Linked DNA regions of Drosophila melanogaster. The gene in region 3 interacts genetically with the main gene of each other region. Each region holds a gene or a part of one and is shown on either strand. Other genes may lie near its edges.

Region 1 (5,005 bases), on a different chromosome or scaffold from region 3:
CTATCGAACGCCCTGCGGCAGAAGAATCTAGCGGCCACAAATGCAGCCTCAGCTGCGGCGGCGAACTCATCCTACGCAAGCGGTGGTGGTGGTGGCACCGTAAGCAGTCGGAACAATAAGATTGTGGTGACAATGATCGAAAACGGCGGCTTGCCCATTGTGGCCACCAGTAAGGCGGAAAGGCCCAAGGCCAAGGAGTCGGCATCATCCAGTGACAAGGCTCGCAACTCGAGGGTATGTAATATTGGATATAAATTTATCGATATTATCGATGGTTGCTTACATTTTATCGAAATCCATCGACGGTAACGGTAACCCGTTAGATACTATTGCATAATTAATATAATAGAAGATATAGGAGGATTTATATTGGGAGCTTGCGATATTGGCAATTATGTGATTTAGAAACTTTCCTAGGCTCTTGAGCAAAACTACACTTGACCTTGCTACTTCATTTCAAAAGAGTGGGGCAATAAGGTTATATTTGTTGTGATTAAAGTTTGTCGGTCTCTCACACTTCCCCATTCATTTATGAACATTGCAAATTTATCGTTGTTGTGCTGCCACCTTCATTCAATCTAATCGTAATCGCTGTTTCGTTTTTGTCTGTATCTGTCACGGTTTTTGGTTTTTTTTCCACAATCGAATGAATAACGATTTCTATTATTTTGATTACGGATTTTGTTTAATTTCAGATTTTTGTTACCCCACATTGAATTCCTATAATCCATATGGAAACTAATATATATTTTCAGTCTAATCGCACAAGTGCTACATAAAAACCCAACGCAAATACGTTTAAAGATTAGGGGATTATAGGGATTACGGGCTCTCTGTTTCTATAACTATACGATTGCATTGTCCGGAGGACAAGTTCATAATAGTTGACCTCATTAGATTTTCCTGTTAGCTAGCATGCGAAAAATGAAATTCTATCTTTAATGTTTTTGTTTGGGACCTGAAAGGCTTGACTGAAATCTCGCTGTCTTGTCTTAATGTAGATTAAGCTGCAAGTTATTCAATTAGCTTAATTAATACGGACACTTTATACAGGCTCAGCTACTTGATACCTCGTATGAATAAATTAAAACCAAACTTGGCGAGTTACAAATTGACAGAATGATCGAATTTCATATGAGACACTTTTTGATATCTTAAAATGAGAGTTTCTCTATTTTCCAGATTATTTATTTTTAAGTATACCTAATGTGTTTCGTTTATGTCGTATCACTCGTGTCTCTATATATTTTATTCACAAATTTTATTGTGTCGGCTGACAAATGACTTACAATTATTTGACGACAAGATGTTCATAATAATGTTCTTTCGGGATTGCATTTTTAGTACCAAACTGTGTGTATTCCTCGGTCTTTGTATTCTGGTGATTGATATAGAGTAAAACAGGGGAACGGGGGAAGTTGATTAGTGAAATCTTCGCGACGACCGTAGAATTCCGACTCAGACTTCAGACATCATGTCCTTTTGGTTTTATTACTTAGAACTCTTACGTAATGCATCACCTAATCAACTGATTAACTTTAAAGGAAGCAGTTGAACTTATTGGGTAATTGATTGATTTTAATAGAAAACCAAAGTCCAACCGAATGTTACTTTAATCGCAGTAAATCAGGGAAGAAGCGCTTTGCGTAACTTGGTGGAACTTATATATTGCGCACATGCGCAGAACACTAAACCCTGCAGCAAACACGGCTAACAGTTTCTTTCCCAGCGTTACGCTCAGTGGTACTCGCACACTCATACACTCTCAAAACTTTCGAGCTCCAAACGGGGCTTCTCTTTGTGGGAGAACAAGTACACAGATGCAGATACGGATAGAGATACTGTATTAATGGTAGTAGTGCTCCACCAGTGGAGAGAGCTGCCCACTGATCGTGTGCTTGTGCTGGTGTGTTGGTGTATTAAGGCCGACGCCGCTGCCGCAGTCGACGTCGCTGCTCGAAGCGATTCCGTGCTTTTGGAATACTCCGCGCTCTCGCTCTCCGGCACTCCAGTTCCAGTTGCTGAGTGGCCAAGTGGCTCTTTGGCTGCTGAGCCCTGTTTAGCTTTGTTTTTCGGTGTCTTCTGTGTTTTGCTGTTTTTTGTTGGTGTAAATCGTATAGTTGTAGTCGTAGCCTGTCGACGACGTTTACGTCAGAGTTGCAGAGGAGGAGCTATAATTTAGTACGAATACCCAAACCCCCACGTAAAATGAGTGCGAAAAATTGCGAAAGCCGCGTGCCTCTGCGATAAGATAACCGTGTGTGGTTAAAGAACTCCTCCGGCCAACGAAACGAACCTTTTAATAATCGGGATTTGCGCGAAATGTGATTTTTTATAGTCCACAGACCAAGTGAAAAAAAAAGAAAGAAAATACTCACACACTATCAAACGACCAATGTATATAGCCTAACTGTGTTTTTCAGCAGTGAAAAAGTCGGCTCAATTGTCTAAAAGTAGTTCATTTGCTTCAATGTGTTGGTGCGACCGTGCATGTGTGTGTCTGTGTGTGTGCATTGGAGCTTTTCGCTTTGCTCACTGAAGCAGCGACGAATAAAAATGGAATATAACCAGCCAGCAACTAAACGACTCGTACGGACGAATTGTTCAGATACTTGTAGATCTCCACATCGTAACTATTTAGACAGTAATTAAAAGCAACAAAGGAAAATAGCGAAAAGGCAAATGAATCATAAAACTGAAAAGAGAGCGTGGGAGAGGAGGGTGGGGGTGGGGACAGGAAAAGCGTGACACACACACGAGAGAGAGCGAGGGCATCTCAGCTGAGCTTGTGCAACAGCAGTAGAAATAGGAGAGAGCAATTTAGAGAGAGACCGAAAACAAACACACGCACAAGAGCTCACCTCCACCACAGGTGTGTAGGTGCCACTTCGCTTTTCTCTCTCGCGCACTCTCTTTTGCTATGTATGTAATTGTGTGTTTAGGTATATTGCCCTCCCTTTCACATCCCCACATCGCCTGCCGTGTGTTTATTTCAGTGTCACCGGGGAGACAGATTAGCTCTTGTCCGCCTGTTGTCGTAAATATCACGCACACACGCTTCCCGTCCGCCCATCTGTACATACATATGTACATACGTAGAAATGGAAGTTGCTAGCTGTGTGTTTAATTCATTTTCGAGGTTTTAATGCGCAACAACTGCGACTTGTTGTGTGTTGGTTAGACGACAAAAAACAAACAAAAGTAACGTTGAGAATTTAGAAAGCCCAATGCAAACGAACGCACACACAAGCACTTACTCCTGTCGGTGTGAGCTGCATTGTACTTCCGAAGCCCCAAGACCAATTTAATAATTTTCCCCAAACTCACAGTGTAAGAACAATAAACACGCCAAGCGCAACTTGAAAAAGAAATAAGAAAAAAGAAAAAGTTGCGATCTCTCCGAGCAACAAGTACTTGTGCACCAACACACTCAAGGGAAGAGTGCCACGACAAAAAAATTTAAGAGAAAAAAAACAGAAAAACCGAAATCAGCAGCAAAACGGAGGAGCTATGGAGGCCACCACTACCACAACACCTGACTTGAATCGCGGCGATGCCACCAGGAAGAGTGTCCGGCTGTATGCCGCCCGCAAGGGGGCGGCACCTGCGCCGCCCAAGCTCAGTGTGGCGCCATCTAGTAACCAGAACAGCAACCACAGCAGCAACAACAACAATAGCAGCAGTAACTTGCCGGAAACGGAAAAGGAAATGGAACTGCGTCAAACACATCTTGCCAACAAGGATCTCGATGGAGCCACCGAAGACGACAGCATAGTGGAGCTTCGACGACGTGATGCCCAAGCCACTCCATTGCCCAGGATAGCCGTATCGGCTCTACCCACCCTACAGCCGCATCCCACGCCCAAAGAACGCCAAAAGCCGCCAATGCCACGCCTTCTGTCCACCGAAGACGATGCCGGTGTGTCCTTTGCCCTCGGCTCCATCGAGAAGCACATCCATAACGTGGAGGAGAGCTTTAAGCAACAGCAGCAAAACCAACAATCCCAATCATCGATGGACGTGATGAAACTGGAGATCAAGCGCAAGCAGAGCAAGCGCTACGGTGAAACGGAAAACCTTCTGCGACCGGGCATTAGTGACATGTCCTCCGAGAATGATTTTCAGTATTTGGGCGGCAGGCGGGCAGGAGAACTGGATGACAGCAATGAGCTGATGTTATCGGAATTCCAGCGCGGCAGCGATGGTCGTAACTCGATCGGAGCCTATTCCAAGAACTCGGCTGCTGCCGCAAACGGAGCAAATGCTGTGAAGGCTAAACTGGCACGTACTGCCTCCGATACGAAGAATAATGATACGGTGCTGGCCATGAGGGCCACTTTTAAGCAGAAGCAGCACTTGCAGGACGAGAAACAGCCAGCGGTATGGCGACCAGCTGGCACTGGACCCACTCCGGCGGCCAGGAGCTCCTCCTCCACCACGTCCACCTCCGGCTCGGCCAGTCGTGGCGGTAGCAGCAGCAGCGTGGTGGATGGAGTGGCTCCATCTAAGCTTACGGCCACTACCATTTCAGCGTCTAAGCGGCGTGAGGAGAATTTGCGACAATTTGAAGCTTTGTTGGCCCAAAAATCCTCACATCGTCATGGAGCATCTGGTGCCTCGGGAACAGGAAGTAATGCAGCCAGTTCGAAAAGACGTTCGGACCGGCCGATTGTGGCTCCTATTCCTCCGTACAATTCCAGTCGAGCAGAGCATGTGACCAGCTCGACCAGACACAGCGTTGATCCAAGATCCCATTCGGGACACGAGTCGAGGTCAGGAACAGCCTCAACTCACCCGCCTGTAGGACATCATCCCACTAGCCGCGTACCCAGCGTGGTGGCAAACCGCAGCAATGTGTACAGCAACAATGCTGCGCAGGTAAACGGGATAAAAACCAAAATCCATTTTTATCTACCATATTTCAATATAATTTTCATCATTTGGTTCAGAGAAAGCAATACCACTGTGGTTTAAAATCGCATTTAATATAACTATTAATCGTTAG
Region 2 (3,811 bases), on a different chromosome or scaffold from region 3:
CTTGGAAGAGTGTCTCGCAGCGCGCCAAGCTGCTGATCAACCAAATGCTCATTGTGGATCCCGAGAGGCGACCCTCAATCGACGACGTTTTGCAGAGCAGCTGGCTGCGCGATGCGCCCATGCTGCAGAAGGCGAAGAGGCTGATGAAGCTCGATGGCATGGAAATCGAGGAGGAGAACTTCCTTGAGCCACCCACCAAGCGATCGCGACGCTAGGTTTCGTTTCTGTGTTTCCATCGTTAATACGTGAGGGTCGAGGCGCGAAAAGGTTTTAATTTTCTGGAAAAATTAAGCGACAACATTTTTCCCAAAACGCCGACACCGCCGCATCCGAGTGTATTGGCGAATTTAAGTATTTTTTGCGGTTGTTAATTTTTACGTGTTGTCTAGTGTAAGTTTCATCGCCCAAGCCCGGTTTATCCTGTTAAACTGCATTTAAACTGGGCTGCTGCTTCACAATTTTTTTAAGATTCCTATCGATTTGAATTCTGCCATTTCATTGGACTATTATTACGATTTATTACTTGTAACTGTTCAGTAACTATAAGTGTTAAATGTAAGAATGACTCTTCAGCAAACCATTCCGCTTTTTGAAATAAAGCAATTGAATTTGTTCGGCAGCAAAATTATTTGATAGCGTGCGTCACCATTTTGCGGCCATGTCCAATGGTGATGAGGGTGCTATCATCGGTCCAAACGGCATCAGTTAGGCGAGAATGGGTGTCCTGGTGCGTGTAGATGAACTCATGGCCCGCCTGCACATTGGCCACTTTCACGGAGGCGGGCAAATTGCTCATCGCAGCCAGATGGGGCCTGAAAATATGTGCGTTAATGCAAATCGTCATTGTTTCGCTTAAACTTGTACCCATTGATTAATAACTGGGCGACATGGCCCTTGTCGAAGTATTCCCTGGTTTCCGCCAGTTTTCGTGGCACTCGAATGTCCAGAGTATGAACTTTGCCGTCATAGTCCCCGAGATAGATGTGATTGTCACCCTGCAGCTCCGAGGCAGCTGCCCAGGCGGCACTGGTGAAGCTCAGCACGTGGCTGGCATCCGCATAGAGGCACGTGGAAGATGGAGCCGCTGCCCGGACATCCCAAAGGCGGGCACAGCCGCCACGATCACAGGTCACAAATTTATCGACTGAAGCTGCGGGTGTGGCCAGGCCAGTCAACTTGTCGGTATGCGAGGAGCGCGATCTGTAGGTGCTCACCATATCGGCGCCCGAGAGATCCCAGACCTGCAAAAGGGTAACATTTGTATATTTTCCATACATCCACATCACCTTTATACATACATTGAGGGTACTGTCCGCTGAGCCCGAAACGGCAGTGCGGGGATCCGCCTTGAAGACGCTCAGTTGGCTGATGGGTGTGGGATGCGCACTGGACTCGCCCACGAGGAAGAGGCAGTATGGCGACTGAGAATCTCGCACCTTGGAGTATGTGGACCAGGCCTGGAGTCGGGTATCCCCAAGGGCCACCAGTAGGAAATCATCCTCAGCGTAGCGCACAATGTTCACCGTGTGCTCCGCCTGCAGCTTGAAGTTCGCCGAGTCCACGCTCATATGGTGCATCTGGTCGCGTCCGTAGCCGAACAACATGCCCCACCATTGGCGTCCTTCGCGTCGGTTTGTGGCCAGGGCCAGGTGGTTGTGATCATTGATAGCGATGCTGTCCCAGCAGTCGTGCAGTCGCGGCGAAAGGTTTTCCAATCGCGCGTTTAGGTCCGCAATGTTGAGGTTCGGGTACTCCAGATTCCCGGCCAGCTCCAGTGCCGGCGGAGGCTGGTGGGTCACCGGAGTGCGGTACAGCTCCGAGCTGCGTTGCGGGAACATCGTCTCTCACTCAAGATTCCGTAAAACAACAGAGAATCGGCCAGCAAGGAAGAGCAACGAGCCCGGCAAGACCAAATACATCGATTTGTGTACCAATCGAAATATCGATATTATTAGACATTAATATTAGAGATAATCGCGCGAGCTGGATACTCTGGAGTTTTTTTTTTTTTTTTTTTTGATTGGTTTATTCAAAATGAGTTCGTTTATTCCGATTAATATCAGTATTATGAACTCGGAAAAATGTATACTGACCTATTTTAATAATTTTTAATTGCACTTCTTCACGAGTTGAGATGAAAGTGTCGATTAATAGAAAGACTTTGAAAATACGTTTTGCAAGTTTTTTTTAGCATTTCTATTTACAGCTTTCATTTTCAAATTGAGCAATCTTGGTGCGCATCATCACTAGGAGGACATCCAAAATTATGATAGTTAGTCATTTATAGATTGGTCAAAGGATTGGTTAAAGGTTCAGAACACGTTCAGAATTCCTTACTCATTTTTGATAAAATTGTGAAGGATAATTTTCAAGAACAACACTTTAAAATGCCATAAAGAATATATTTATTTATATAACAATAAGACTTCCGATACAGGAGTTCCGAAATCGCCAGGCGGTAATTAAAAAAAGAGAATGGCGCACTTTACAACTGCAAAGTTTCTACATTACGTTTACATTTCACATTGCTTAACGGTATAGTTGTGAGCAACGGTATTTTTTAGGGGATTTCCCGCCACTATGGACATTTACCGTTCGCTTGCAAGCGGTCACACAGTTGTTATTTTTGTTTATTATTATCGCGTCGCTCGTTGCGCGCTGGTTTATTTTTTGAAAAGTGCGTTCCTAGCGCGAGTGGTCAGCGTCCCAAACGTCGTAGATTCCATCGCCTGAGCCATCAAGAACTAAATATTTCCTTACATAACTGCGGAATACTTCGACTCTGCAGTAAGCCACGCGACGGAAGGCAATCAACAAAGACACGCAAGTGCTTGCACACTGGGCTATTATGCAAATTGCGCCACTGCAGCTGGTCTAAGATTGCAAGGAAGGGCGACAGAGCAACACACACACACACAAAGTGCCTGGGCAGAACGAGCGGAACCGCCTCCCCAATCAGCTGTGATCTCTGCGGTCGGGCCTCCATCGAGTGGGCGGAGAATGGGCGGGATGGGGGGCGGCGGGCTGCTGGACATCTACGCCATGGCCTGGGAGCACCTAAGACCCGGAAGCTCGCCCGTCGACTGGTGCGAAGGCAACTACTTGATTTCGTCCAACATCGCCGAGTTCGTGAACACGGTGCGTATGTGCGATTTATTTAACGTTGTATGTAATTTGTGCGCTCTGCTTTCGCTGCCCCACTTAGTTGTCCCCGCAGTGGTCGTAGTTGCTCTTCTCACCCCTTCGCAGACAGCTGCTAGTTTTCCCTTTGAATAGGCCTTGACCTTTTTAGAGCGAGACCGACTGGCAACGTAAACAAAAGATGCTGTTTGCCACGCTTTGTTTGCGTTGGTGTGACGATGGGCTGGGGGTGGGGGTCATTTTCGCACCCGGAAAATGCGACACCCGGAAAATTCAGTTTTCTTATCGCCCTGAGCTTCACACCTGTCCGATCGATATAAAACTTGGTATTGCGGACAGGGCAAAGCATAATGAACACTTTGTCCTCGGACTGGAAACTTGTGTCTCTTCAGACTTGGCCGCTACACGGACTTCAAACTAAGTCCTGCAAGGGCTAGCTTCTCTCATTTGGTTGTTATCATCTCTTTCATATATAATATGATTTATATAACTACTTTGAACCCGGCTGTCCGATGTTATTAGATTTGAAATATGTAGATTATACGCTCGCGATTTCATTTAGTTAGTCAGCCGTTTGCATTTGTCATTATAGTAAAACAGCCTAAACAAATAGCTGTGCTGGTGGTAATGAATGGCATCCGCATTAATATAAACGTTCTTACAATCGTAA
Region 3 (5,672 bases):
TTCGCATTTTTTACACACAAATATGACTACTAATTGGCGAACTCACCTTTTTTATGGCCGCTGGCCTAACGGTTTCGATCAGGGGGCCGCCAGTTCGTGCCAAGAATGAAGCCATTTTGTTCTGAAATCGAATGAGAACGTACGTTTAACGATTTGAAAGCGAATTTTGACGTTACTGCTTACATTTCAAGATTTTTTTGCCGTCGCCTGCTGATGGAGGTGGTAGAGCTTCGATAGCAGGGACTTTTTTATGCTTTTACAATCGAAAATGCCGAAAAACTATCGTGAACTTAATGCAAGGTTGGAAACTGTAATATATTAGCAAAGATTCAAGCCAATTTGGCGGGAACTTTTAATATTGCATGCCATCTAAATTATTTTTCAACTACCGTTATTTTTATGATAATAATAAATTCGCAAATATAATAATATATTCACAAATGTCACAATATAATCTAGACCACTTTTAAATCGAAATTAGTTCGATTAGTTCCCAGTTACTTTGAACATAGCTTAGAGCAAACAAAATCATTGATTTCCCTTTTATTTTATTTTTTCATTTTTTTTTTGGATTTTACATTGCAGCTTGTTATAGGACAAAAAAAACGTGATCACCATCAATACATACAATTAACATACATTCAAGACAATAAATAAGTTTATAAATAGTAGATAGCTATCTAGAAGACTTTAAAGTAGAGCTGTAAATTACGCCAGAATTCTACACTGTGCTACAAACAAGCGCTTAGTGCGCACTTCCGGTTGGCGTGTCTGCAGCAGAGTGTAAGCATTTTATAAACTTTTTTGCAAACGGAAACAGAAAGACGAAAATCGCGCAAATGCTTCACTTGAATTTGCTTGAGCACATCAATAATAAATCAGCCGCGGCGTTGATTTTGTGCAAGCGAATTTTCCAAGTAAAGCAGTGCATTTTCATTACGGCCAAAATGCAGCATGGCTCATATGTATACGTACCACGCCCACTGCGCCCTTCTTTTTAAGGGCAAGTGGCAGGTTGTGTGATACAGGAGCATGCCGAATTTTGACCCACACAAAAGTATATAGAACAAAAAACAGTTTATAAGCATTGCAATGATTTGCATTTAAGTTCCATTTTGCAGTTTAATCTGATTTGGTAAAAACAGATTTCAAAGCAAAATGGTTTTGGGAAAAGCGGAAAAGTTTGAAGAGAAGTTTTCAGCTGCTTGCGCTTATTTTGCATTTGATTATTTTACACAGCTTTTGGGATAGCAGCAAAAAGTGTGCAGAAAATCAATGGCATTGGCAAAACAAATCACAGACAGCGAAAAATTGAGAAGTTTAAATCTAACATAGAACACAAAACACACAATAATATACAATAATGGACTAGGACAAGTGCACGAACATATAAATAAACAAAGACAGAGAACATACTACATATAAAACATATTAAAACTAAGCGAATTCCGTAAAAGCAGCGATCCATCAGCGTAAATCGTAAAATCATCAAAAAGTTCTTATTTTGTCGGTTCCGGTGCCAGCCCAGTCAAAATTTGCATATATGTATCTTGATTAAGAACCCAACTTAATACTCCAGACTCGTTTCAATAACTTGCAGTACGCGCTGCCGACCGATTTTGTTCCAGAACAGATAGGGTTCCTTGGAACCGGTGACTTGGCGTGGTGAGCTGAAAAGTGGCACAAATCGTAAACTCATATGATATGGTATATGGTATAAAGTCTTACGCCTGAAAGCAATCAAATCGCACCACGCCCCTTTCGTTGATTAGACAGGAGTGTATGTCGATGACCTTTAGGTGACAGCATTCGCTTCGGATAAACTTGTTGAATCGGTAGATTTTGTCACATAATACCTTATCGTGACAATAGTTGCCCAGCGGTGCAAGATTTGTTAGAATCGGCACCAATCGCATATTGTGCATCTCCTTGATCAGTAGCCGAAAATCGTGCTCGATCTGAACCAAAGGCTTGCCGCGCATAATGTCCACCGATCCGATATTGACGATGATCTGAGTACCCTCGGGTAATTGGACTCTTTTTAAACGATTTCGGGCGCCATTGATCGTCAGTCCGGATACACAAAGTCCTGACTGCAGGACGCGTTCGTGACGCCTAAATCGGCATTTTAGCTCCATTCGGGCGAGATATAGCATAAAATCATCGCCCATAAGCGGAAAGTCCAGCAGATAGGCATCGTAATCCGAGTTAATCGTCAGCAGAGAATCGTTGTAGGTTCCACTGGTTAAAATCGTTGGCGTGGGCGTCATTTCGTGGCGTCTCTTCATTATGTTCATGCCGTTAAATGGATGCACAAAGATGCCCAAATGGCGGTTTTCAGTCGGTTCGGTTTTCTGGCTTTGGGTTCTGCAGCTTGGCTGATGCCCAGGTGGAGCCAAATTGATTGGTTCCTCTGGGGCATCGGGGCTGTAGATGTTGATGGGTACTGGCATTTTTGGCGCATTTACGCTGGCTTGCTGGTAGAAATTGTTGCTAGGAGTTCAGTAGAAAGATTAGTACATTTTGTTAAGTAAAGGTTTATTTTTGCTATAGTTGCACTGTCTACAAAACACCTTTTCAGTACTCACAGATGCTTCCAATTATCCTGGTAGCACCAGTTCGACTCCGCTGCCTCATTGGCCATTTGATGCAGCGAAACCGGCCTGGTGGCGATATCCTTGGTCTTTTCATCCGTTATCTTGGGCACGGTCCTCGGGCTGGTGTTCAGCTGGGACAGAGCCCTCCGTTTGAAGGGATTCTTCCAGTAGCGTGGAGGTGCTCGTGGTATGTTCTCCAGGGACGGAGCTCCGCTGCTGTAGTCGCTGGTGCGCTCTTTCTGGTTGAGCACCATATCCAGGAGGTGACCGTTCTTCAGGCTCGCTTTCAGGTTGAAGATCCGCTTACCGGACTCGCTGCACTCAGCGGTCACATTGGGAATGGTCAGCAGGAAATCCGTCACGTTGTCGTGCAGTGGAAATGGATTGCCCGTCAGTTTTCGATATTCACCTGGCGAATTTCAATTATAGAATTATTTAAGGGTAATCTTACAAAAAAGAAACATAGAAAAAATATAAATTAAAATAAATATACTAAACTATAAAAGTTATATAATCCAAATAAAATTTAATAACCTACTAAAAATTTATACATTTTAGATTTCTAACTAAATATAGCCACTTAGAGAAAGTTCTGAAGTGTTTGATGAAGTCGAAACTTCTGGAAAGAAGAAAGCTTTCAAACATAAAGCTACTCACTCTTGATGCTCGATATCGTGATTCCATTCTGGGCGTGGCTCAGCAATATGGCGCGCACCTCACTATCTATATCGGGATATTCCTCGCGCACGGATATATAGTTGCTCTCGATGATGGTCATGTTGTTCTCGCTGGTGTTGCTGTTGCTGTTGTAGGTGATTTCCTTGGTGGAAATCTGAGTGGACGAGAAGAGTCTGGCTACGACTTGCAACTGCTGGCTGCTCTGCCGGCTGGTGAGTTCATGGGCCACCAATGGCACCTTCCACAACTCCGGCAATTCGGTTTTTCGCGCCGATTTGAAGATCTTCCGAAAGCGTTCGCCGCATGCGGAGAAATCGGACCTTACGAAGATCTGGTTGAGGCAGCTGGAGGAACTCTTGCGAAAGGAACCGGATGACTGGAGTTTATCGCGCAACTGCTGGAAACACGTGGTCACCCGCTTTTTCACGGACTTAAGATAATAGGTTTTGGCGGAAGTATTGGTGCTGGTATAACTGATCGGTTTGCTGGGGAATTCACTTGTGACTGCGGCCATCGCTTGGAGGAAAGTGATCCAATATTCTTGGATCCCTCGCCAACGCGGTCCACTTCTCCATTCATCTGCATTTTGGAGACTTACGGTGCTTTTCGTACTGGAAGGCGAAAGAGCAGGCGCAACAGAAGTAACGGTGAGCAGTTTGCAGAGATAATGTTTCCAGATCAACAGAATTTGTGAAAATACATTAGGGTGGTACAACCAAAAAATTTTGAAAAAATAAAAAACTGTTTTCAGAACCTAATATAGAACCTATATATATATATATATATTCATTTTCTTTAATTTTTTTATCAATTTGTTCCCATTCGCCCACCATTAGGTTAACATTCAAAGCAGTCTACGTAGCCAGTAAAAACAATTAAACGAAATTACCACCTGCATTGCCATTTGACGACCATTACACAAAGCAGTTTGCACTCCGTTCCAGCTGGACATTCGTTTTAATGGCCTTTCTCTTGGTCCAGATTAGAAAACAGCACGCCAGTGGGTCTGCAGAGCTGCTTGATAAGCAATTACGAAGTAGCATATACATAAATTCCAGAATAACTCAAATGGTGCCGACGAGCGTTACCACGTGCGGTGGTGCTCTGGTGGTCTGTCGGCTAATCGGCAAATGGAGCTGCTTGGCAGCAATTCCCCAGGAGATGATTATCCATCCATACAGCAAGTGCACCTGAAACTCCGAGAAGGGTAATGGAGGCACTTGCTCTGAGGGTTAGTCCAGCGATTGATGGATGACTCAGGGGCTTTCTTACATCTCGTGATGATTCCGGCACCCCGGAAGAAGCACAGACAATCGGAAGGAGGATTATGGCTTCTTAGCTTAAGCAAGTTGGATACAGTCAAACATCAGTAATGCGTACCAGCAAGAAATTACAAAAATTAAATCAGTAAAAATTTTACTTAACTAGCAGATCAGAATAATAAAAAAATAATTTTCAATAAGGTGTTGATGGGTTCAAAGGGTAATATATATAGAATGGGCAATAGTTAGTGCCACTACAACCTATCTGTAATTTAGGGAAGTACTTCCTTATAGATGTTGGACTGTATATTTTCCCTAGCCTTGCCTTAATTGCAGAGGATGCTGCAGAGACGTGACGAGCAATACAATACTATATGTATGTAGAAAAACTGGGCGAGAACATGTGGTCCAATTTATAAATCTCGACCCTTCTCCCATTTTTATTTGCTGAATGTGTAAGCCCAATAATTTAGAGTGGGATGAATCAGCCGGCTTTTCTTGCCATTCAATTTTCCCTTTTCGGGTGGTGTTTCAAATATTTTGAATGCACTCGCACAGCACAGGGCAATTGTCCGGTAATAATAGTAATTTGCATTCCAGGCCCTCTCTCATTCTCTCTACTCCCAGCTAAGAATTACAGTGGTCACTCGATTGTAAGGTAAGGAATTATACATATATTTATGGTATTTGGCAACCTTCCTTGTATTTCTATAAGCGTAATTGTAGGAAGTAACCACTGAAAAATAAATTTGTTTAATATTTTTAAAGACATTTTCCTACTCTCTTCCTTTCTAACAACTACTACCATGATTGACGACCATTTTTGATTGACAACTTTTGCATTTGCGTGTGGTGGGTGTGCATTGGAAATCGCAAAAAGCAATTTACCGCCTAGATTTGTGAACGACACTTTTCATTGGGTTCGACTGCATTTCTGCATAAATTATGGAAGCCGACGGAGCAACTTGTTGTTATTCTGTCTGCTGTCTTAGAATTTTTACCAGCAGCGAATTCATTTCGCAGAGGGCGGCTAAATGTTGGGGGATAGGCAAATTATTGTAATCAATTTATGCGAACAATTTAGCTATTGCCTCACTTTGGTGGGGCGGAGAGACACCTGTTAATCTGCTGACAG

The links. A genetic interaction does not mean that the proteins touch.
Region 1: of osk (region 3) and par-1, changing one enhances a phenotype caused by changing the other (phenotypic enhancement), as found in Drosophila melanogaster (one study listed by BioGRID).
Region 2: of osk (region 3) and vls, changing one suppresses a phenotype caused by changing the other (phenotypic suppression), as found in Drosophila melanogaster (one study listed by BioGRID).

Annotation. Positions count from the first base shown.
Region 1 is NT_033778.4:19,465,461-19,470,465, forward strand, and holds the start of par-1 (par-1), read left to right. Parts: upstream 1-2,005; 5' UTR 2,006-2,181; exon of another isoform or gene 2,182-2,353; intron 2,354-3,329; 5' UTR 3,330-3,510; coding exon 3,511-4,878; intron 4,879-5,005.
Region 2 is NT_033779.5:20,063,761-20,067,571, forward strand, and holds vls (valois), read right to left. Parts: upstream 1,920-3,811; 5' UTR 1,839-1,919; coding exon 1,299-1,838; intron 1,242-1,298; coding exon 865-1,241; intron 813-864; coding exon 626-812; 3' UTR 501-625; downstream 1-500. Other genes in the region: lok (loki), read left to right, coding at 1-215; bwa (brain washing), read left to right, coding at 3,001-3,138. UniProt on the Drosophila melanogaster protein: Involved in specific localization of cytoplasmic proteins during the formation of pole plasm. Required for synthesis and/or stability of oskar protein (osk) and localization of tudor (tud) in both the nuage and posterior pole of the oocyte.
Region 3 is NT_033777.3:8,933,263-8,938,934, reverse strand, and holds osk (oskar), read right to left. Parts: upstream 3,810-5,672; 5' UTR 3,790-3,809; coding exon 3,255-3,789; intron 3,220-3,254; exon of another isoform or gene 3,136-3,219; intron 3,007-3,135; coding exon 2,589-3,006; intron 2,494-2,588; coding exon 1,729-2,493; intron 1,671-1,728; coding exon 1,568-1,670; 3' UTR 540-1,567; downstream 1-539. Other genes in the region: ScsbetaA (Succinyl-coenzyme A synthetase beta subunit, ADP-forming), read right to left, coding at 47-115. UniProt on the Drosophila melanogaster protein: Organizes the germ plasm and directs localization of the posterior determinant nanos. Oskar protein is required to keep nanos (nos) RNA and staufen protein at the posterior pole.